3 linked regions of the Notamacropus eugenii genome follow. The protein of the gene in region 3 purifies or fractionates together with the protein of the main gene of each other region. This does not show direct contact. Links are inferred from orthologs where the notes say so. Each region holds a gene or a part of one and is shown on either strand. Other genes may lie near its edges.

Region 1 (7,574 bases), on a different chromosome or scaffold from region 3:
CCCTCAGCCATTTCCACAGTAGCAATGAAAGAGGGTGGGAAGGATGAGGCAGAGAGCTGAGGGCCACTTTATATTTTGCTTTGTTTTATGAGTTACCACACACAAAGAACTCACCAGTCTTTCCATTATGGTAGAACTTGCCAGAACTAATGTTCTCTTGGCATAGCCTTCAAGAATCTAGATTCCTTACATATCACAATGAAGCTTTAGGATAGGAATTCCCTCCAAAAATGGAGAAACTTTCTTAAACTGAACCCTGGAATTTTCACCAGATTTTGTTAGGTCTACCATTTGGAGCAAGCAGAGTCAATTGGTCAGTAAGTATTTGTTAAGTGCTTACTATATACTAGGCACTGTGCTGAGACCTGGGAGTATCAAGAAAAATAAAAAGACAGTCCCTGAATCAAGGGACTCAGTCTAATTGGAGAGAAAACATGCAACAGCTATGTACAAACAAGATATATGCAGGATAAATTAGAGACAATCAATAGCACTAGAGCTAGAAATGAAAAGGCTTCTTGCAAAAAGTAGAGTTTCAAAAGCAGATCATGTCTAATAACATTTTAACTGATGAAATCTAACTTGATCCTCTACCTTCAATAAGGTTTTCTCCATTGGGATCACAATCTCTATCCTTTCTTCTCATTTCAACTTACGGTCAATATTTACCTTGGATCAATACAGTTATTCCAGCTTCCCAACCTATAATCTGACAAAATAGGCCTTTGCCCATAAGTATAATATGCTTTCCTTCACCCTCTGCTCCTTTCCCCTTCACACTGGAAAGCAAAGTTTTCATCCCATGAAGGGGGAGGGAGGGAAGGGAGAGAGAAGGAAGGGAATCTCTTCTACTGCAGTCCAATAGCTGCCCTGTGATGGCCACTGAGCCCCAAGCAACTACTGGAATTAGCTTCTGTTTCTCTCTAAAGTCATCTGCAGGACAGGACACTCCCGTTCCTCCTCCTCTTATGGTGAGGCTTGTAGTGCCTTCATCAATCTGCTTCTCTTTCTCCTCTCCACCTCCTTGCTTCCCTGACTTCCTTCAAGTACCAGCTAAAATCCTACCTTCTGTGGCCTAGCCCTATCAGATATCAAATTGTATTATAAAGGACCAATCATCACAACCACTTGGTACTGGCTAAGAAATAGAGGAGTAGATGAGTGGAATAGGTTAGATACTCAAGACACAGTAGTCAATGAATATAGCAATCTACTGTTTGATAAACCCAAGGATCCCAGCTTCTGGGATAAGAACTCACTGTTTGACAAAAATTCCTGGGAAAACTGGATAACAGTGTGGTGGAAACTGGGCATAAACCAATGCCTGATACCATATACAAGAATAAAATCCAAATGGATACATGATCTAGGTATAAAGATTGATACTATAAACAAATTAGGGGAGCAAAGAATAGTGTATTTGTCAGATTATGGAGAATGGAGAAATATATGACCCAACAAGAGATAGAGGACATTATGAAGTGCAAAATGGATAATTTTGATTACATTAAATTGAAGTTTTTGCACAAACAAACCCAATGCAACCAAGATTAGAAAGGAAGCAGAAAACTGGGAAAGAATTTTTGCAACTAGTGTCTGTGATAAAGGCCTCATTTCTAAAATATATAGAGAACTGAGTCAAATGTACAAGAATACAAGTCATTCCCCAATTGATAAATGGCCAAAGGATATGAACAGGTAGTTTTCAGAAGAAGAAATAGAAGCTATTATAATCATATGAAAAAAATGCTCTAAATCACTATTGATTAGAGAGATGCAAATCAAAACAACTCTGAGGTACCACATCACACCTATCAGATTGGCTAACAGGAAAATCAGGAAGATGATAAACGTTGAAGAAGATGTGGGAGAGTTAGAACACTAATTCATTGTTGGTAGAACTGTGAGCTGATCTAATCATTCTGGAGAGCAATTTGCAACTATGCCAAAAGTTACAAAAATGTGCATACCCTTTGACCCAGCAATATCACTTCTGGAACTCTATCCCAAAGAGATCACAGAAATGGGGAAGGATCCCACATGTACAAAAACATTTATAGCAACTCTCTTTGTGGTGGCCAAGAACTGGAAATCAAGGGGATGCCCATCAATTGGAGAATGGCTGAACAAGTTATGGTATATGATACATGAATGTAATGGAATACTATTGTGCTATGAGAAACAATGAACAGGAAGACTTCAAAGAAGCCTGGAAGGTCTTATATGATCTGATGCTGAGTCAAAGGAGCAGAACCAGAAGAACTTTGTAAACAGCAACAACCACAGTGTGTGAGGAATTTTTCTGAAAGACTTAGCACTTCATTGCAATGCAAGGACTTAAAAAATTTCCAAAGGCCTCTTGAGGAAAAACACCTTCCACGTCCAGAGAAAGAACTATGAAATTGGATCACAGATAGAAGGAGACCATTTCCTTTTGTATTTTGTTTTGTTTTGTTTTATGGCTTCTCCCATTCATTTTAATTCTTCTTTGCAACATGCATTTAATAGGAATGTATGTGTAGAACCTGTAAAAGATTGTACGCCATCACAGGAAGGGAGAGGGAGGGAGGAGAAAAAAAATCTAAGATATATGGAAGCGATTGTCAAACACTGAAAACAAATAAAATAATTTAATTTTTAAAAAATAATAAATAAATAAATAAAATCCCACCTTCTAGAGGGAACTCTTTCCAGTTCCCCCCAAATCTATTAAATTTCCTCCATCAATTACCTCCAAATTATCCCATATATAGTGTGTTTGTGCATTGTTCTTTGCAAGTTCTCGTCCCATTTGACTGTGAACTCCTTGAGAGCAATGACTGTCTTTTGCCTTTCTTTGTATTAGGACAGTGTTTGGCACATGGGAAGAGATTAATAAATATTTTCATTGACAGACTACCTGGATGTTTTCCAGTTTTACTCTTAGCTTCCTAAAATGTGGTGCCCAGATCAATCCTCCAGAATTTTGACCAGAGCAGGGTACAACAATTGAAATATCAATTCCTTTGTTCTGGATATTAAGCCTCTGTTAAAGCAGCCTAAATTTACACTGCCATTAGGGGCTTTCATGTTCCACTGCTACATCATATTAAGCTTGTATCGCACTCAGGTGTCCCATGTTTCCCACAAGAAATGGTCTTTAGCCATATCTTTCTTTGTTTTCTCTTTCTGAAATTGGTTTTTTAAAAAAACCCAAGTGTAAGATTTTATATTCACATCAATTAGATTTCATCTTTAGATATGACACCTCTTTCTACCCTTTCAAGATTTCTCTGGATATCAGTTCTGTCAAGCTACTTACTGTGGAACACCTCTGTCTACTAGGAAGTTCTTTTCAAGCAAAGTTTGCGCTCATAATTTCTCACCACTACTATCCCCAATTGCTATATGGAATTACTCAGAAAAAAATATCTATTTTTTTTCTACCTCACAGCACTTCAAAGTTTTGAAGACCTGAAGTTCCTGTTAAGGTTTCAGTTAATATTCATGACACAAGACTGAAACACCCTGTGATCCCATCTCCAGACTAAAACCAGATTATCAGATCTCTGATGAGGAGCTTGTATGCAGCCTGGACAGACAGTTACCAGGAGTAAAAACTTTGTAGCAGCCCATCTCAGCTACCTCAGGATCTGTGGCTGCATCTCAGAGAAATAAGAACCTAAACTTAGCAACCTCCCTTCACACCCAATGGGGTTTTGTTGACAGAGTCCCACTCTACTTACAGGTGATATTTCTGCCTTAGGTAGGTCCACCTGCCTTTTAGGAGAGAAAATTTGCTTTGATTATGCAAAAGAGATAGGTTAAACCCCAAATGTGTGAATAAAGATAAAAGAAAAACAACAGAATTCAGGCTGAACATAATGACCAGTGTTAATTCTAACTGGTTGATTTTGAAAAGAAATGTCTCTTCTTTCTGTAAAAAAAATGAGGAATTATTACACTTTAATGTTAAATGTGATATCACTCCTAATTATTATGTTAGATATTTTTATATAACCATGTTTTTGCTTCTGTGGGTTTTCCAGTGACAGGACTATGGGGAAGGGGAAGTGATTGTTCTATCCAAAAAAAAAAAGGAAAGTGTCTCTACACCTCTATCTACATAGATTGAGGTCAGATTATGAAGCCTTTCAGTGTCACATGTTACTGAGGCATTCTCCAAAGGCCAATGAAGTCATTAGAAGTTTCTGATTTGGAGACAGGCAAAATAAAAGTAGGAATTCTTCCAGAGTGGATATGAATCTTCCCACTCCATTCACTTAAAAGTGGATTTAGATACACATGTTAGAACTTTAGGAAGATCTTGTGTCCAAAGAACATAAGTTTAAAAGACAAGAAACTTAATGTCAAAGATTTCCCTTGGATAATGAGAAGAAGAATCGTCTTGCACCCCAACTGATACTGTGAGAGAATGGCAAGAGCATGGAAAGGAACAAGATTACAAATGGACAAACAGACTTAGTCATTGTTTGTTCTGTACAAATAACCAGTTATGCTAGTTAATGTTCACTGGAAGAAGAGTCTCATCCACCCCTTTCCATAACTACTTAGCTATTTAAATAACACCCTAGGAAACAAGAGGTTCTGGGTCAGCTTCCTGGTGAGTTACTGCAGGACTCTGGAGAAGGAGAGGTAAGTAATGTATTCCCCTGTTAAAAACCTCAATCTCTGTGGTCTGCACTAGAGCTGGTGGGCTTGGAATCCTCAGGGAAGTGAGGGAGAACGGAATATACAGTGACTGAATTTCAGTTCTTTGAAAGAAAACTAGACCTTCCCAAAGAAAGGGGGAAGAAGAAGACCTATGTTCATGGTCCCTCAGAAGGAATAATCATAGCCATGGCTTTGTGACAACCAGCCAATCAAACTAGGTTTTAGCCTTTGTCAAGAAGGTCTTGAGGCAGCTTTTTAAAAAATAACAGATTATGAAGAACTTGCTTTTATTTGGCAGTCTACCATGAGAAAAAGAATGCTGAACTTGTGGTCCCAAGGTATGGTTCAAATCTTTGCTTTGACATTTGCCATGTGCCCTTGGATCATTTGCCTGACCTCTGTAGTGAAGTCTGTTTCCTTATCTATAAATGGTAATAATAATATAGACACAATATACCTTAAAAGGTTGTTGTAAAAACTCAAGTCAAACAATAAATCAAATAAATAAATCAAATCAAATTGATATAGTGCCTTACATATATTATCTCATTAAGTTTCACAACAGCTCTATAGGTAGATACTGCAGGCCTTATTGGTTGTTGTGGTTCAGTCATTTCAGGCATGCAGAACTCTTCAGGACCTCTTTTGAAATTTCCTTGTCAAAGATACTGGAGTGGTTGGTCATTTCATTCCTCAGTTCATTTTACAGATGGGGAAACTGAGGCAAACACTGACTTGCTCAGTGTCATACAACTTAGTGAGTATCTGAAGTTAGATTTGAACTCAAGAAGATAAGTCCTCCAAGCCCAGGGTCCTAACCACTGAGCCACCTACCTGCCCATGGCATTATTAGACACTCATACTATTGTGATTTCAATTGTAGGGGTTTCCCAAATGAGAAAACTTCTACCAATGTGGGTTGCCACCTTCTCTACAAAATGTCTTAAAGAGAATCTAGCCTCAAACACTTATTATCTCTACAATCATGGGTTCTTATCTCTACAAAATGAGGACAAGAATAATTGTCACTTAGTGTCATGCTTTGAAGTCCCTTTTGAAGCTGAGAATCTGTGATTCTGGTTCCGTTACTTTCAGCAATAAAAGGGACCCAACCTCCTCATTTTCTCTATGAAAGAAGGAGTGGCAGCCCCCATGACTAGAAAATAGATCTTCTGGTTCCAACATGCTTTCCACTACCTTCCTCTCTCTTTGAGACAAACAAGTTGTAGAAACAGGATATGCATTGACTTACCATTAGATGTCATTGACTGCTCTATCTTCTCAGATAAAGCAAACACAATAGGAGAAGTCATCACTATGGTTTCAACAACTTGGAAGAAGTAGGATCTAAGGTAACATGATTTGGCCTGGCAGAGATAAAAAAAGACCTTCCAGGTAGAGGGTCAATTTAAGTCACAGAATTTACATCTTTTAGAATCAGAAGAGTTTTCAGAGGGATTAATCTAATTCATAATCCTCACCAATGCCAAGGTCCCCAATATAATATACTAGATAAGTCATCAACCAGTCTCTTTTTCCAGGCCTCTAGTGAAGGGAGACTGCTTTCTCCAAAGGGAGCCCATTCCTCTTTTGGAGAGGAAAGTTTTGAAGGAAGTGTTTCCTTACCTCAAGAATAAATTTGCCTTTTTGCAATGTTCCTCCAGGTTCTTCCCTCTGGGCCAGAACAGGAAAAATAGAAATCTTCATATATGTATTATTATTAATGCATAAATCTGGAAGTTTCATTCTTCACTCAAAGAAAATATACACTGACTCAGTGTGACCTACAGAAAATACAAACTTGAATTGCAGCTATTATAAGGGGCCTGGGAGGACATACCCTATAACTTTCTCAATTTACAAATGAGGAGAGTGAAGCCCAGAGAGGCTAAGTAATTTCCCCAGAGACACAGAGAATTAATTAGAAGTCTGATAAGAAGTATCAGAGGCAGGATTAGAACCCCAATCCTGAGACTCTAATTACACTGCTCTTTCTACTGCACCAAAGCTGTAGTTCCCCTCAACTAGCTATTAAAGGTTTCAATCTCCTTTTCCAACCTTATTCACAGAATTCTCCTTTCACTTACTTTAAGTTCAATTAATCAATTAATAAGCCTGCATTAATTAAGCACCTACTGTGTGCCAGGCATTATGTCTGATAGGTTTTCCCTGACTGTCCCCACTACCACCCCAGATAAAAGTTGTCTTTCCCCAAATTTGTCACAGCAACTTGTCTGCAGAATTCCTTTCCTTACTGCATTCTGCATTGCACCATTCAATTAATAAACATATATTAAGTGCCTACTATGGGGCAACACGGTGCTCACATTTCCTCATATTTATTTGGGTATATTCTTTACTTTAGTCACAGACTTTCATACACAGTGTTTTTCTATCTATTGCCTCTATCTCTATCTCTTTATCACTTAACTCGTTATAACTGTTCAATCTCTCTTTAATCTCACCCAGTTTACTTTTCCTTACTACCACTGAAAGCTCATGGAAAATAAGAAATAGAGGGGGCTTCTTTAGGGTTAGATTTTTGCATATTTGTGTCCAAAGTTGATTGTGAAGCCTCTATGTGTGTTCGTCCTTCATTGCCAAAGACCATTCAATCAGAGAAATGATGACATGACTTTCACTTGACTTTGTTTTGAGTGAGGGAGGGCTGTGCAGGTCACCAGCCTCACTTCTCCTCCAGAGCCATCTGAGTCCAGTGACCAGATATTCATCAGGATGACTGGAGATGACCCAGGATGAGGCAAGTGGGAATAAGTGACTTACCCAAAGTCACACAGCTGTGAGTGTCAAGCATCTGAGGTGAGATTTGAACTCAGGTTCTCCTGACTCTTCCACTGGTGCTCTATCCACTGCACCACCTAGCTGCCCCAGTACGTTTGACACTCACTAGCTGTGTGACC
Region 2 (7,974 bases), about 54 Mb from region 3:
TAATGCATACTAATAAATAATTTGGGTAATTAACTCCAGCTTTACAATCTACCAACACAACTTTTCCCTTTTTTACAACCCCTTTGCCCTGAAATCTGCTCTTTTGCATAGGCACTTTTCTCCATCTAGTTTCTAAACTAAAACCACACTATTTGGCTGTCAACAGTGTTCTTGAATTATCTTTCAGCTGTTTAGGATACTTCAATGCTAGAATCTTATCTGTATTGTACTATAACGCACATGCGAATATGTAGGTTTTAAGGCAGAAATATATTCTTAGGTTCTATATATTTCCACCCCGCACTTCCAAATAAATAAATAAACAAATGCATACACAAACATATCCACACCCACCCAATAAGCAAGGACCAATAACCACTTATTCTCTGATTTATTGCTGATACTCCCCTTTTTACCCCATGGACATTAAATCTCTTCATTTGATATTAATTTCTGATAAGGAGTAGTTAATTATACTTGGACAAATTCGTTCTGATGCTTTATAAACCTGTTGCTCATCCTGGTCTTCAGTTCTACTGGACCAGCTGTAAGGGGGCCAAGAGGTAAAATTCAAAACAAGAAAACAAAATGAAACCTCACTTGCTTGTGCCTTTGGTAGAGAATAGAATCATTTCAATTTTGTTCAGATACCTGACAAAAGATTTCAGGTATCTTTTCTTTTTTCAGACTAGAGAACACAAACATCTGGCCCCATGTAGTAAGTCATCAAGACAGTTTCAGGTCACCACCAACCTCTGGACGACTTCGTCATCTGTCCGAGAAGCTTCTCTGCTTTTACCCAGATCTTCTTCTACCGTGGCTTCCACATCCACCTGGTCTTCTGCTTTCACTGCTCCTAAGGGAAAAGGACATTCCTGTGTGAGATAACTGGCTTTCCAGTCAAATGGAGCAGATTATCTAACAGGGGATGCAGGGTGGTAGGGAAAGGGGTGGGGCCCAGAAACCTTGGGAACATAGGACTGAACCCCAAAATCAGCTTCTGTTTCAAGGATTGGGGCTGAATAAAGGGATGACCAACTTCTCCACCCCATGCCTTCTCCACAGAAACAGACTTGCTAGCATTCTACTTGGAAAGTCCTGGGTTCAAGTGCCAGCCAGAATCCTTAGTATCTCTGTGACCACAAGTATGTCCTATCCCTTCTCTGGGCTTTTCCCCAGTCTCTAAATCAGATAGTTCTGGTGGTGAGACCCAAATGGACAACAAAGATACAAGCCCCTCAGCGGGCTTTACAAGGCTGGGTAGTTTAACTTGTTGCTTCGTGGCCCTAACTGTAAGCACCTGCCCATCACTGCAGAACAACAGCTCTTGCCACTGAGGTCTACAAAGAAGATCCAGGGAGGCCAAGCAGAGAAATCCGAGATCAAGGTCCCCCGGGGTCAGATAGTTCAACTGGAGACCCAAGGAGGGGAAAGGAACATATTCAAAGGGTCATCCAGCCCAGCATCCTCATTTTACAGAGAAGCAAACTGAGCCTCAGGGAGACTGAAGTAATGTGATTAAAGATTGTGTCAACAAGATGGATTTGAACCCCATTCCTCTGACTACAAAGCTAGCGTTATTTCCTCTGTACCTTGTCTAAAGTAAAGAATCAAACCCAGCTCTGCCTTTATAAGGCTCTGTACCAGATCAGCCCCTATTAGAGAGGGAATTCGAGGGGAGGGATGCTGACTTGACTTTCATCCTGGACTCCAAGGCTGGCCCTGCAGCCATCCTTCCGGTGCCTCAGCATCACTGTAGACAAGGTTTCCACCCCATCTCGATTCTTTCTTGCTGGCCCCCTTTCCCCGCTCCAAGTCCCCCTTAAAATCCTATCTTCTACCAGAAGCATTTCCCCACCCCCCTTAATTCCAGTGCCTTCGTTCCAGAACAAGACTCTAGAGATATCATGTAATATTAGAATGATAACGTAAATTAGAATAGTATTCAAATATTAGATTTCTAATAACACTAGAATAACAACAGAACATTGTATTACATATCCTATCTGTTCAGACATTTGCACGCGGTTACAGTGGGGCCCCTCGAAAGCAGGGACTTATTTTTTCCTCCCTGTGCCTCCTCCCTCTCAGCCCAGAGCCTGGCACATAGTAGGTGCTTAACGACCTCGGGTGGACCGTTTGATGAAGGCAGGTTTCCTGACTGGGTGAGGTTTTTTCCCCGGGGGAGGGGGGTCGCCACCAGCGGCTGGCACATAGTAGGCACTTCACTGAGATGACCTTTTCACAATTTGGGTAGCCTAGTCCCCCCCCCCCCCCTTTTTTTTGGCCTCTCCGCCACCTAATACGCTGACTATGTGGCCTTTCTCTGGACCAGCATCTCCATCTTTACGAATAAACTAAGGCTGGGTGGGGGGCGGCAGGCACGGACGGCCCACTGCCTCTCTAAACGGCGCCGCTCTCTCCACGTGGTCCTCCCCATTTTACAGGGAAGGTAAACTGAGGCCCCTCGGCTGCTCGCGCTCCCTCCTCACGGTCGTTCCCATTTCAGGGGCGGGGGACCCGAGACAAGGAGAGGAAGGCCTCGGAAGCCGCAGGCGGGCCGGGCCCCGGCAGGCAAAGCGCTCCAGGCGCGGCCACTGGGGGTAGGCCCCGGGGGAGCCGCGGAGCCTTCCCGAAGGCCCGGCCCCCGCCGCCTCCTCACTCACCGCAGGCCAGCAGCAGGACGCAGCAGAGGCCCAGCAGCCATAGGCCCTTCATCGCGGCGGCGTGGGTCAACTCCGGCACGGCGCGGCGCGTCAAGCTCCGGCTCACGGCTTCGTCCTCCGTCCGCCTCCCCTGGCGGGGTTCTGCTCCTCACGCCCTGGGTTGCGGCAGCGGCGGCACAGAGGGCAGCGACAGCGACGCGATCCGCCCACCACCCCCCAAGCCGGGCAGCTCGCTTTTCACCCCCCACTCCTTGCGGGCGGGGGACGGGAAACACGAACCGGCCAATAACGCCGCACCACGCACCCCGCGCGGCCAATGGGAAGCAGCGGAGGGGGGGAGGAGGCGGTGATTCACCAATGACAGCCCTCCAGGTGAGGGGCCCGAGGGCCGAAGCGTGGCTCCGCCTGATTGGCCCACGAAAGCTACGTCGAGCCCGACCAATCACCGGCCTCCGCGGGCCCCTAGCTCGGGCGGCTCCGACAGAGGACGAAGGTCGACCAATGAGCGCGAGCTCAGGGAGAGCCTCCCTCTCCCCTTCCTTGGGGTGAAGTCGCGCTCCGGAAGCACTTCTAAACCTTCCTCGACCGCGTTTACCCCGTTACTAGGGAAACGGTGTCCATGGCAACACGTTCTTCGCTTTTCCTCCCCCGAAGAATACGTTGAGAGTCGTATAAGGCTCCCAGTTCGGCTAGCCCCAAGTAAGCCCTGCCCCGGTTGCCGCAGGCTACTCGGGCGGGTGGCTTCTCGGGAAACAGGAATTTCAGGAGTTCGAAGAGCTAGTGCCCAAAGAGACCGAAGAGGAGGGAGGAGGGGGGCGGGGCGAAGCCGAGCACCCCGCGAGAAACTACATATCCCAGCATGCAATGTCCCCAGAACTACACTTAGGTGCATGCCGGGAAAGGGCCTGGGCTTGCCTCCTGGGCTAACCATGTGCGTACTCTGATTTCTCGTGGCCTTCTAACCCTTCCAAGCTTGGTCCCCCAGCGCATGCCCCTGCCCTTGGGAGCCCGGCTTGGGGTAGGAGGGCAGAGATAAAAAAGCATGAAGCTTGCCCCTCTTGCCCTCCTCCCTCCTCCTAACCTGACCCTCTATATAAGTCACTTAGTCCTGGATGTAAAGGTGGAAGAGTCCCCGCAGGGGTTTAATCTTACTTCTTCCCTTGACAGATGAGGAAACTGAGGCCCAAAGAGGGAAAGTGACCTGCTAGGAGCATAGATCCAGGGCTGAGACGGGACCTCTGAGATAATGCAGCCTAGAGCCCGTCACTTGACAGATAAGGGAAACTGAGGCCCAGATCGGCCCAGGCCTGGCCCCAAGGTCACACAGCTCCTTTAAAGGGGGTCAGCTGTGTAATCTCAGTGTCATTTCCTCCCACAGCATGCAGGGAGCCCCTGATGTCCAAGCTGCTTCATGTCCCCTGGCCAGAAGTCTGTGACACCCTCCCAGATTCGCTTGGAAGGAGAGGGCTTGTGACCTTCCCTCCAGTCTCAGGGAAATTCTGTGCTTGTGAGCTGTCCCAAGCTCACCACCTCAGGTACAAAGACTTTTCCTGGAAAGTAACCATCCCTTAGGTAAATTAAGTTTTGACTGAGCCCTGGGGAGCCTGAAGCCGCATTATTTGCCAAGGGCCCAGCTCACCTTCATCTCCTCTCTTGGTCACAGTTAGGGGGAATGGGAGTGGGAGTGACCTTTGGGGGGAGGGGGCGAGACTTCCAGCAGCACCCAGTACCTGCTCCATCACAGTTATGACCCCTCACCTTGTACCAGACCCAGGGGACCGGTGTGAACTGAACTGTCCAAATTAGACGACACAGAAGGAGGAAGCCAAGTCCCAAATGAGTGCTCAGAGGATGCACCTGCAGAGCATTTGAAAGCAAAACCTGTGATGAAGCTGATGAGGTAGTGTTAACTCCTCGGTAGCTGGTAAGTGAAACACGTTGCTTATTTTCTTTCACAGGCACCTTTGCTGGATAGGGCCATCAGTTACTAAATTGGGGGAAACATCTTGGGTTTCTCCTTAGAAACATTTTACAAATTCCTAATCTTAGGAAATCATCTGATCGATCAATATTTACAAGCACCTGCTGGGTTTCAGGCACTCCAGTAAACTCCCAGAGATACAAGAAGAGGCAAAAGATAATCCCTACCCTCAAGGAGTTTCCGATCTAAGAGACAGAGTGTAGATAAATTATACAAAGCAAGCTATGATACTGGATAAATAGAAAATAATTGGAAGAGTTTTATCTATATTTAAAATACATTTATTTTACATACATATATTACACACCCACATATATTTCTAGCACTCCCTTTTTTGAAAAAAATAATGCCTTCATTTTAGTTTTGTAAGCTATCACTACTACATGGGACCTTAGGGGAAATAAGCTTTTTAGTAATTTCTTACAAGTATGACATTAGAATGCCAGTAGGTCACCTGTTTGTGGTTCCTGTTTGTTGACTCATTGTGGTAAACTGTTTACCTCTGCTTGGATTAGCTGTATTTGTTATTAGTGAGCACACTTAGTTTTTTAAAAAGCCTCAATCCATGTCTGTTGAGCTTCTTCCTTTGCCAGGCTTTTTTTTTTTTTTGTAGTTTATTCGTATTTTTTGTGTTCCATTCATTTCTGAACATTCCCATTCTCTACCCAGCTAGCCTTATTTCCCTTGTAACAAGATTTTAGAAAGAAAGAACAAGGAAACAGTTCAGCAAAACTAAGTAACACATGAACTGTGTCTGAGAGAATATGCAAAATAAGGATTAAATTTTCATAATTGTGATTTGGTTCATATGGAATGCAAACACTGGTGTTCTGTAGCTTTGGTGAGAAAGGACTGCTAAATAAACAAGTGGACAGTAGGAATTAGTTCAAAAAAGCAGCCTAGCAGAGGTTAATACTCTGTGGCAAGTCTACCAAAGATGATTCTGAGGTACGTTCACTGGCTAGTCCAGTTAAAGGCATTGCATGTGTATCAGTTGGTAATGATAACCAACTGATGGCTCAGATGGACCTCAGAAGAGAGAGATCAGTGTGTTTTTTGAAGTTCCAAGCCCTTAAGTTAGGGGTCTTGCAACATAAAGGGATGAAGAAGGAAGAGAATTTCCTTTATTCCTAGGCTCCATCCTAGGGGTGAACTCAACTCCCTTAAGGTGTTAAATTTCGCAACCTTTTCTCCTTTCAAAAACTACGTTATCCTTCCCACCCTTCTTCTTTTTTTCTGTGTATTTTTTCTCTCTCTACCCAATAGCCAAATGGGGTGGAAGCTAGAGCGTGGAGATAAGGTCACTATTTTCTTGATTGTCTTTTCTGGACCACCCTCTGCCTACACCACACTAATGCTCCATTTCCCCATTCCAGACTCATGTTGAGATGACCAATGTATGATGACTTTTGATGGCGGTTAGAAGATTAACTGGTTAAGGGGGAGCTGAAATAGAAATAAATAAACAAATTCTTGGCTGCCAGACTTCTGAAAGGGTGTATATGTTTTTTTTTTTTGGGGGGGGGTATGGAATAGGGTCCATATAGTTTCAGCTATTTTCCCTACAACTTTTTATATTCGTTGTTAATGCCATACAATGATGGTCAGTAATTCATACTGATAACCTTAAGACTATATGGGATTCTGAAGTGCCTGCAGAATAATTAAGAATTAAATTGAGGTTCAGGATAATTTTAGCATTAGGTGTATTTTTTTTGTATTTCATTTTTAAAAATTAGCAATTGGTGTATTGAGTCATGTTGAGGCATTTGAAGTTGACCACACCTTCCTAGTGAAATTAACCTAGCCGTTCTCCCTGCCATTCTCGATATGGGAGTTTGCTTTAATTCAATGCTAATAACTCCTGATTTAGAAACATTAATTATAATTATGAACTAATTTTAAAATATAGGAGGGAGACTGGACTTGTGATTTCCTTGGTGTAGGGAACTCCCTCTGCTAATGCAGGTCAGCGTGTTCTTTTCAACTTAGAGTCTTTAAGAGATGCCTCAGTGGTTCAGTGACTTGTCACTTAACAAGTAGGTGTTGTAGGACGCACTTGAATCCAAGGCTCCTTGGCTTGGAGGCCTGCTCTCTCTCTTTACTAGGCCTGCTGCCTCTCACTTATAAACAGATAGCATTGTATTATTTTGTTATTGGGCTTCATCTTTGATATTAGCAATGTCAAGCTGGCTCAGTTGGTTGATTCTTAGCTAGTAGTGGGTTGGTACCTTTAAAAAGTAGCATCTTGACAGCTGCAAATGCTTTCTGTAATGTTAAACAAATGATCAGACATAGATTGCAAATAATACCAACTCTAGAGCTCTCTCTTAACTCCAAGACCATCCTCCTCATCCCCAATTTACAGTCTTCAGTGTAAGGACTGTGGACCAGTACACAGGTGATCCAGTTAAGTGCCTACGTTGCCAATTGTGCACCCAAGTAGGCACTCAGATTCCCAACAAATTTAGAGGAAGTCAGAAAACAAGACTTAACATTTGGCTAAAGTCTGTGTGCTTACTGTGTGCCAGGTACTGTGCTGAGCTACAAAGAGGCAAAAACCTCTGCTGTGCAGGAGCTCATCTTCTGATGCTCCAATAGTGTTTAAATAAGGCAGCTTGAAAGAGGATGGATGGCTTTGGCAGCTGGGGGAATTATAAAAGGAGGGGAGATTTAGCAGAGTTGAAGGAATCCAGGGAAACTAAGGGAAAGGGAGGAGCCAGAATATTTCCAACCTTGGAGGATACCCTGGGGAGTAGGCAGAGTCCTTAGCTTTCTGACCAGCCTATGGTTTTCCCAGATAAGCCCTCTGCTCTTGCTGGCTGCAGACACAGTCTCATAGACTTTACCCCTCCCTCTCCTGTCTCAGGTCACCCTGGGAGGATGCCTCTGCTTCCATTGGCTTTACTAGGGGCTTCCTTTCCTATATCTCCCAAGGTCCAGTGACCTCTTGTATAGTCCTGGGTGGACTAAACCACTTGTAATAGTTTTCTTTGGATTTCTTGATCATTATTCAGTTTGGTGCAAACCTTAGACTTTCTGGAGTAAGTGTGGGAGATGGCCTCCTATTCAGGTAGATGTCTTCACCAGGTGTCATCTCTAATGCCATGTTCCTAACAAAAGATAAAACTTCATGAAGAGAACATTGTAGAAGTAGAGCTAGAAGAGGGACTTGAGCTATTCAGAAATATACCATTTTCTTATGCTGGTTCTTCCTAGTACCTTTAGTTCCGATTGAAAAGGCAGAGTTATCATGTGAACAATAAAATAGTCCCTAGGTAGAGAGGTCTAGAAGTCACTGCCATGACCTGGGTCACCTCCAAAGAG
Region 3 (7,336 bases):
ATATCTGATTCTCCAGGGTCACCCTTGGGTGGGGTCATACCTGGGAGTAGGAATGGGACAAAGCAAGGTCTGAAGAGAAAAAGGAAATGCGGAACTACACCTGCACCTCCTCTGTATGGATCTCAACAGGTGGAACAAAGCAGTCAAGATAGATGGCACCCCCTTCCCTTCCCAGGAGCTACTAAAACTAGCAGAGAAGAGCCACCTCACAGGATAACTGAGAGGAAATATGACCTGTTCCCTTTGTATCGAGGACCCCAAACTGTGTCTCACTCCACATTTCAAGGTCTGGGTTGTGAAGCTTCTCAGAGATTTCTTCAATTTTCTGCTTTGCATCTACTGGAAAAAAATAAAAAGGGAAATTAATTGGAGAGCATGAGACTAGGTGTTCAAAATATTCCCTCTCTCCCCACTCCTCTCCTTCAAATATATCCCAGTCCCCCTGAGACTCACACACTTGTCCCTGGATATATGCTCCATACTGCTCTGGCTGTAAGGTAGGGTGACATCGGATGGCCTGGGGGGCAGCACTTGGAGGAGGTCGAAGAAGAGGATGGGAGCAGAGTCGAGGGGTTCGAATAGTGAGCACATAAGAACATGACTGAGGTTCATCTACCCGATCAATGTAATCCCCCGAAGCATCTGAACCTTCATCACACAGAAACTGACCGAGAGAGAGCAAGTTAATTCAGGAGGGATTGGAATAATGGCAACTCTATTGTTGCTACTGGGGAGTGGCAGGGGAAGATTTGAAAAGGGAAATAAAAGCCTGCATTATATAGAGAATTAACTAGAGTGACAAGCCAGAGAAAGGAGCATCAGATAGTTAAATCTTTGGGGACTGGCCCCTAGAAGACAATTCTACTCTGTCTCCTCACAGTTCAAGTGCTTTGTTATGAGAAGAGATGGCTTCCATTTCCCTAGACTCACCCGGACTTCAGTCTCTCTGGGCCGACCATTCAGGTCACACTTGGAGCCATTTCCATAGTGCTGACTATGGTAGCGTTTCAGACGGTGTTGCTTGGAGGCCTGATATGTAGAGGTGGGGGGGAGGGGAGGAAATATGATAAAGTAGGAGGGGCAGCCCTGAAAATGCTAAAATATTTGAAAAAGGCCCTAGGAGCTAAGACTGAATGGTCATTCAACCCTGAGAAGCTAGTTTGACTCACCCAGACCCATTCCCTATTCCCCAGAGATCTCAAGACTCCAACCAGGATCCTTACTTTCCCTCCCAACTCTCCAACCACCACTACCTTGGCAGTCTCATCATCCCAGTTGAAGGAAGATTGGTAATATCCAAGATAAAGAACAGAACCTTTGATCTCTGAATCTAGAAGAAACACCAAAGGGTAGAATTGTTACTCTTCTGTAAGGTAAGAGGTCAGAATAAGGTGGGTTACCCTTCATCTAGTATTGCAGTGGGAGAGTGAAGGAATTAGAGGAATCACCTTCCATGTGGTATTGCTGTATGTGGCGTCCATAACAAAATTCATATGTCCACCAGTCCTTGGTCTAACAATGACAAAGTTAACAGTCAGTAGGGATGTGAGGAGGGGGAGGGGGAAGTCTGTCCAGCTCTTAAGATGCTTTCGTCCACTTTTGTACCTTCCTTGGCAGGGAATCCTTTATGTTCTCTATGGAAGAGGATCCCTTACTGCCCCTTGATCTCCCTGTTTCTAGGTATTTCTTCAAAGCTTCCTTGCAGTCTAAACTTCCTCCACCTGCAATTTCTGCCCTCCCCTCTCATTGTGCCTTTCATGAGAAGAGGAAACAATCACATTTCTTTAGAGATCCTCCGCTTTTAATTTTATCCCCACCCCTCAACTTCTCCCTCTGTCGATAAACTCCTCCTCCCAAACACTCTAATCTCATTCTAATACTATTACTCCTTCTATCCCCCAACATTCTATTAGGTTGTGCTTGGGGTCTATCCCGAGTATAGGGTTATTTTTGTCCTCATCACTGCCTTTACTCTTGGGTGGCCTGTTTATACCCACCCTGCCCTAGTCCCTATACCCCTTCTTCCTCAACAGCCCACCCTCCAGGCTTTCCACTCTAATTTAATTTGCTGTCCTGCCCTCCTTTTCCCTCCTCCAGCCCCATTCACTTTCACTAGGCAGGGCGCCTCTCTCATTGGGTTCAGCAGCTCAGGGACTCCAGGCCCTTTATAAGGAGGGGCCTCCTCCTCATGCTCCCGCTGGAAGTGAATGGCTCCAGCTGGTAGACGGCATTCGTATCGCTGTTTGTACTTGGAGGAGACAATCACGACCTCTGAGGACTGGCTCTGGAAGAGGAGAGAACACAATTTGGGGGGTCAGAGGTAGAACAGAGGGACAGAGGCTGACGGAGATCGTTGACAACAATGACAATCCGAGCCAAGCCTGGAAGACGAACGCAGCAGTCAGAGAGGAAAATGGGAACTATGGGAGGGAAGGGCTGGCATGGTCAGCGTGCGCACGGGGAATGCTCCGTGCATTTTGTTTCTTTCTGCGACACCGGGAGGCCCGGCTTGCTCCCCCGCCTCCGACTCACAAGGGGAGCCAGGATCTCATTTTCCCTTTCGGGGACTCAGTTTCCCCATCTGTAAAGCGGAGGCTCTGCGGCTGGACGATGTCCGAGGTCGCCAGCCCTCCTCCGCAGAGGGATGGAGCGACGCCTCTCAGGGTCCTCCTCCATACCTCCCCTCGCCTCGCCCTCGTCTCTCGGGGTCCTCGGTCTCCTGTCGCCCCCTCCCCCGGACGCCCCACCCCAGCCCCTGGCCCCAGCTCCCCCCCTCCCCGCCTCCTGCTCCCCCGGGGCTCACCTGACCCCCGATGACAGGCCGCGGCAGGATCTCGATGCCGTATCGCATCTCATTCAGCTCCTCCAGGTTCAAGCTCCCGACTACGCAGGCCGGCAGCTCTGACAACAGCGGCCCCAGGAGCAGAGGCCATAGCAGCCGAAAGAGCAGCGACGTCGCCGCCATCTTTCGTCCCTCGACCCTAACCCGAAAGCGGCCGCTTCCGCCCTGAACCGGGCAGCCGCCTCGCCCTTCCCCCTTACGCCTGTGGATCTCACTAGTCCTCGCTTATGCCCGTCATGGAGACGCGGGCTCCTATTGGTCTACGTGATGTCGGACAGTATGTATGAGAGCGACGGACTGGCGGACAGACGAGAAGGACTGACGGAAAGATGGACGGAGGGAGGGACAGAAAGACAGAAAGACCGGCTGACGGACGAGAGCAGGGCTGGTGGTGGTGGTGGGAGGGAGTGGGAAGAGGTGGGCTTCGGCTCTGAGATTTCCAAGGCCTCTTACCTGCCGAGAGTGGATTGGCTGGAGTCAGCGCTGAGTCAGCCAATAAGAAGCTAGGTCAGCAGCTCTCCTCTAAAAGGGGCGTGCCTGAACGGAGGACTCAGGGGCCGAGGTATCCCCCTGACCGGGACTTGCTGTCAGATCTAATCCTTCTTCGTTACCTCTGCGGCTGGGCGGGGCAAGGAAGAGGAGCTGGCCAGCCGCTCTGCAGCGGGACCGGCCACCTGCTGGCAGGACAATGGGGCCGGATTCTGCGACCCTGAGTGTCGCATAAAAACGGGAATAAGCATTTTAATAAAGATCAAAATGAACCTCTGGCTGCAGTGCTACTATGATGGAATGATACGCGAAGGGATAACTGGAATGACGTCTAATTGTTACCCTAATGACTACAAAGTGCTGTGCGACCCTGGGAAGGTCGCTCATCCTCAGTTTCCTCATTTGCATAATGGAGATAATTATAGCACCTGCCTCAGAGTTGTGAAAATAACAGATGTAGAGTGCTTTGCAACCTTTGACAGCAATAATGATTAATAATGTCTATTTAATTTGTAACCCTGGGAGCACCTTTCCTCCCAAAGTCTTTAAAATGGACATCCATTGCATCCGGGCCATCACCAGTCATCTTGGTTTTTGTCCTGTCACTGGAATTTGATGGTTTTGGAAGGGAGAGTGAAGTTGACGTCTTTTTCCAACTGTGCCTCACTAAAATCCATTCTTACTAGCAAGTCAAGATATCACCCAAAACATTGTGATTTCATTGCTTCTCTTCAAAAAAAGAAGGATGAACAACAAGGGTGATTTGTTTGTTGGACCAAGGTTTCTATCTTCTGCCAGGCAGATATCACTTACATACCCCTACCTAGTTGCCATGGTATTCTGATGACCTTGAACCAGGTGTTTTGTGAAGCTCAAATAAGATAATGGATATAAAACATTCTGCAAATTATTATTATAGTAATATGTTATATTTATATTATATTACATTGTTATACAATATATTAATTTAATTAATAATTATTATCATTATTATTTATAGTCTCCAGTCTTCTAGTCTGGTAATGACTTCATTCTCTGAGTCTTTTACTGCATTCCTGCTTAGTTCAAACAACATTTATAAAACGATACAGGAGTGTGCCATTAAATGTTACATAACTGGGCTCTCCCAGGGGTAAAAAAAATGTGTGCACAAACACTCTTAAGGTTAGTCTACATTATTAAAACTTTTTGAAGTTCAGAAATCAACAAAAATAAACAAATCAAGGCCTGATTTGTAGCAATTGACAATTTCTGAGGTATCAGTACTCAAACTGAAAATTTAATAATCAACTCCTTTAATAATCAAGTTGCTTTCAAGAAGCAAGGGTGGAACAGATACATATTGCCCAAGAACAAGCCATTATAACTGTGCTAGAGGAGCTGCCTTGAGGCTCTGACTAAGGATCAAGGCCTTAACTGCCTTTAGGCCTTGCAGCTGGTTTTGAGCTGATGTGGTATTGGTTGTTGGTGGTGGTTGTTGTCTGTCTTCAAAGAGGACCAAAATGACATCACTGGGATAAAGTGAAATTTCAATATGTCTGACTGTGGGTGATCAGACCAATATGAGCTCAGAATGCTTTACCACAGGTTGGGCACAGATAATCCATGTGAATATTTGGGGTGGATATCCCAAATTTGCGCATCTTATGTTTACTTTGTGCTGTCTCAATTCTGCTTTGCTCAAAGAGCACAGCACCCTTTCTGATGTGGGCACGCCATGCTGAGCAGTCCTGTGCCAGTAGAGTAGTAAAGATTATGTCATTATCTGAAGACAGTGATTGGCCAGATGCAAGCTAAAGAGACAATTTCTTTTTATTTTTTTTATTATTTTTTTTATTTAACTTTTAACATTCATTTTCACAAAATTTTGGGTTCCAAATTTTCTCCCCATTTGTCCTCTCCCCCCACCCCAAAACACCAAGCATTCTAATTGCCCCTATCACCAATCTGCCCTCTCTTCTATCATCCCTCTCTGTCCTTGTCTCCATCTTCTCTTTTGTCCTGTAGGGCCAAATAACTTTCTATACCCCTTTACCTGTATTTCTTGTTTCCTAGTAGCAAGAACAGTACTCGACAGTTGTTCCTAAAACTTTGAGTTCCAACTTCTCTTCCTCCCTCCCTCCCCACCCCTTCCCTTTGGAAGACAAACAATTCAATATAGGCCATATCTGTGTAGTTTTGCAAATGACTTCCATAATAGTTGTGTTGTATAAGACTAATTTTCTTTCCCTCCATCCTATCCTGTCCCCCATTACTTCTATTCTCTCTTTTGATCCTGTCCCTCCCCATGAGTGTTGACCTCAAATTGCTCCCTCCTCCCCATGCCCTCCCTTCCATCATCCCCCCTACACTGCTTATCCCCTTATCCCCCACTTTCCTGTATTGTAAGATAGGTTTTTGTACCAAAATGAGTGTGCATTTTATTCCTTCCTTTAGTGGAATGTGATGACAGTAAACTTCATGTTTTTCTCTCACCTCCCCTCTTTTTCCCTCCACTAAAAAGTCTTTTGCTTGCCTCTTTTATGAGAGATAATTTGCCCCATTCCATTTCTCCCTTTCTCCTCCCAATATATTTCTCTCTCACTGCTTGATTTCATTTTTTTAAGATATGATCCCATCCTCTTCAATTCACTCTGTGCACTCTGTCTCTATGTGTGTGTGCATGTGCATGTGCATGTGTGTGTGTGTAATCCCAGCCAGTACCCAGATATTGAAAAATTTCAAGAGTTACAAATATTGTCTTTTCATGTAGGAATGTAAACAGTTCAACTTTAGTAAGTCCCTTCTGACTTCTCTTTGCTGTTTACCTTTTCATGCTTCTCTTCATTCTTGTGTTTGAAAGTCAAATTTTCTTTTCAGCTCTGGTCTTTTCATCAAGAATGCTTGAAAGTCCTCAATTTCATTGAAAGACCAATTTTTCCCCTGAAGTATTATACTCAGTTTTGCTGGGTAGGTGATCCTTGGTTTTAGTCCTAGTCCCTTTGACTTCTGGAATATCCTATTCCATGCCCTTCGATCCCTTAATGTAGAAGCTACTAGATCTTGTGTTATCCTGATTGTATTTCCATAATACTTGAATTGTTTCTTTCTAGCTGCTTGCAATATTTTCTCCTTGACCTGGGAACTCTGGAATTTGGCCACAATGTTCCTAGGAGTTTCTCTTTTTGGATCTCTTTCAGGCAGTGATCTGTGGATTCCTTGAATACTTATTTTGCCCTCTGGTTCTAAAATCTCAAGGCAGTTTTCCTTGATAATTTCATGAAAAATGATGTCTAGGCTCTTTTTTAGGTCATGGCTTTCAGGTAGTCCCATAATTTTTAAATTGTCTCTCCTGGATCTATTTTCCAGGTCAGTTGTTTTTCCAATGAGATATTTCACATTATTTTCGATTTTTTCGTTCCTTTGGTTTTGTTTTGTAATTTCTTGGTTTAACATAAAGTCATTAGCTTCCATCTGCTCCATTCTAATTTTTAAAGAGCTATTTTCTTCAGTGAGCTTTTGAATCTCCTTTTCCATTTGGCTAATTCTGCTTTTGAAAGCATTCTTCTCCTCATTGGCTTTTTGAACCTCTTTTGCCAGTCGAGTTAGCCTATTTTTCAAGGTATTATTTTCTTCAGCATTTTTTTGGGTCTCCTTTAGCAAGGTGTTGACCTGCTTCTCATACTTTTCTTTCATCTCTCTCATTTCTCTTCCCAGTTTTTCCTCCACCTCTCTTACTTGATTTTCAAAATCCTTTTTGAGCTCTTCCATGGCCTGAGCCCATGGTATATTTATTTTGGATGTGTGGGATACAGAAGCCTTGACTTCTGTGTCTTTCCGTCATGGTAAGCATTGTTCTTCCTCATCAGAAAGGAAGGGAGAAAATATCTGTTCACCAAGAAAGTAACCTTCTATAGTCTTATTTTTTTTCCCTTTTCTGGTCCTTTTCCCAGACAGTGACTTGCCTTCTGAGTTTTCTTTCCACCCCCACCTCACCTCCAGATCCACCCAGCCAGTGCTTGGGGT

The links.
Region 1: the proteins of OS9 (region 3) and alpha-1-antiproteinase-like purify together in Homo sapiens (affinity purification with western blotting; 4 studies listed by BioGRID). This does not show direct contact. The link is inferred for Notamacropus eugenii from reciprocal best matches to the Homo sapiens genes OS9 and SERPINA1.
Region 2: the proteins of OS9 (region 3) and HSP90B1 purify together in Homo sapiens (affinity purification with mass spectrometry; 6 studies listed by BioGRID and IntAct, with this or other methods). This does not show direct contact. The link is inferred for Notamacropus eugenii from reciprocal best matches to the Homo sapiens genes OS9 and HSP90B1.

Annotation. Positions count from the first base shown.
Region 1 is NC_092872.1:364,863,252-364,870,825, forward strand, and holds the start of alpha-1-antiproteinase-like, read left to right. Parts: upstream 1-4,496; 5' UTR 4,497-4,635; intron 4,636-7,574.
Region 2 is NC_092874.1:286,659,659-286,667,632, reverse strand, and holds the start of HSP90B1 (endoplasmin), read right to left. Parts: upstream 3,098-7,974; 5' UTR 2,719-3,097; coding exon 2,667-2,718; intron 857-2,666; coding exon 754-856; intron 1-753.
Region 3 is NC_092874.1:233,054,232-233,061,567, reverse strand, and holds the start of OS9 (protein OS-9), read right to left. Parts: upstream 3,037-7,336; 5' UTR 2,966-3,036; coding exon 2,804-2,965; intron 2,285-2,803; coding exon 2,108-2,284; intron 1,513-2,107; coding exon 1,449-1,512; intron 1,331-1,448; coding exon 1,254-1,330; intron 1,030-1,253; coding exon 931-1,029; intron 665-930; coding exon 454-664; intron 340-453; coding exon 235-339; intron 41-234; coding exon 1-40. UniProt on the Homo sapiens protein: Lectin component of the HRD1 complex, which functions in endoplasmic reticulum (ER) quality control and ER-associated degradation (ERAD).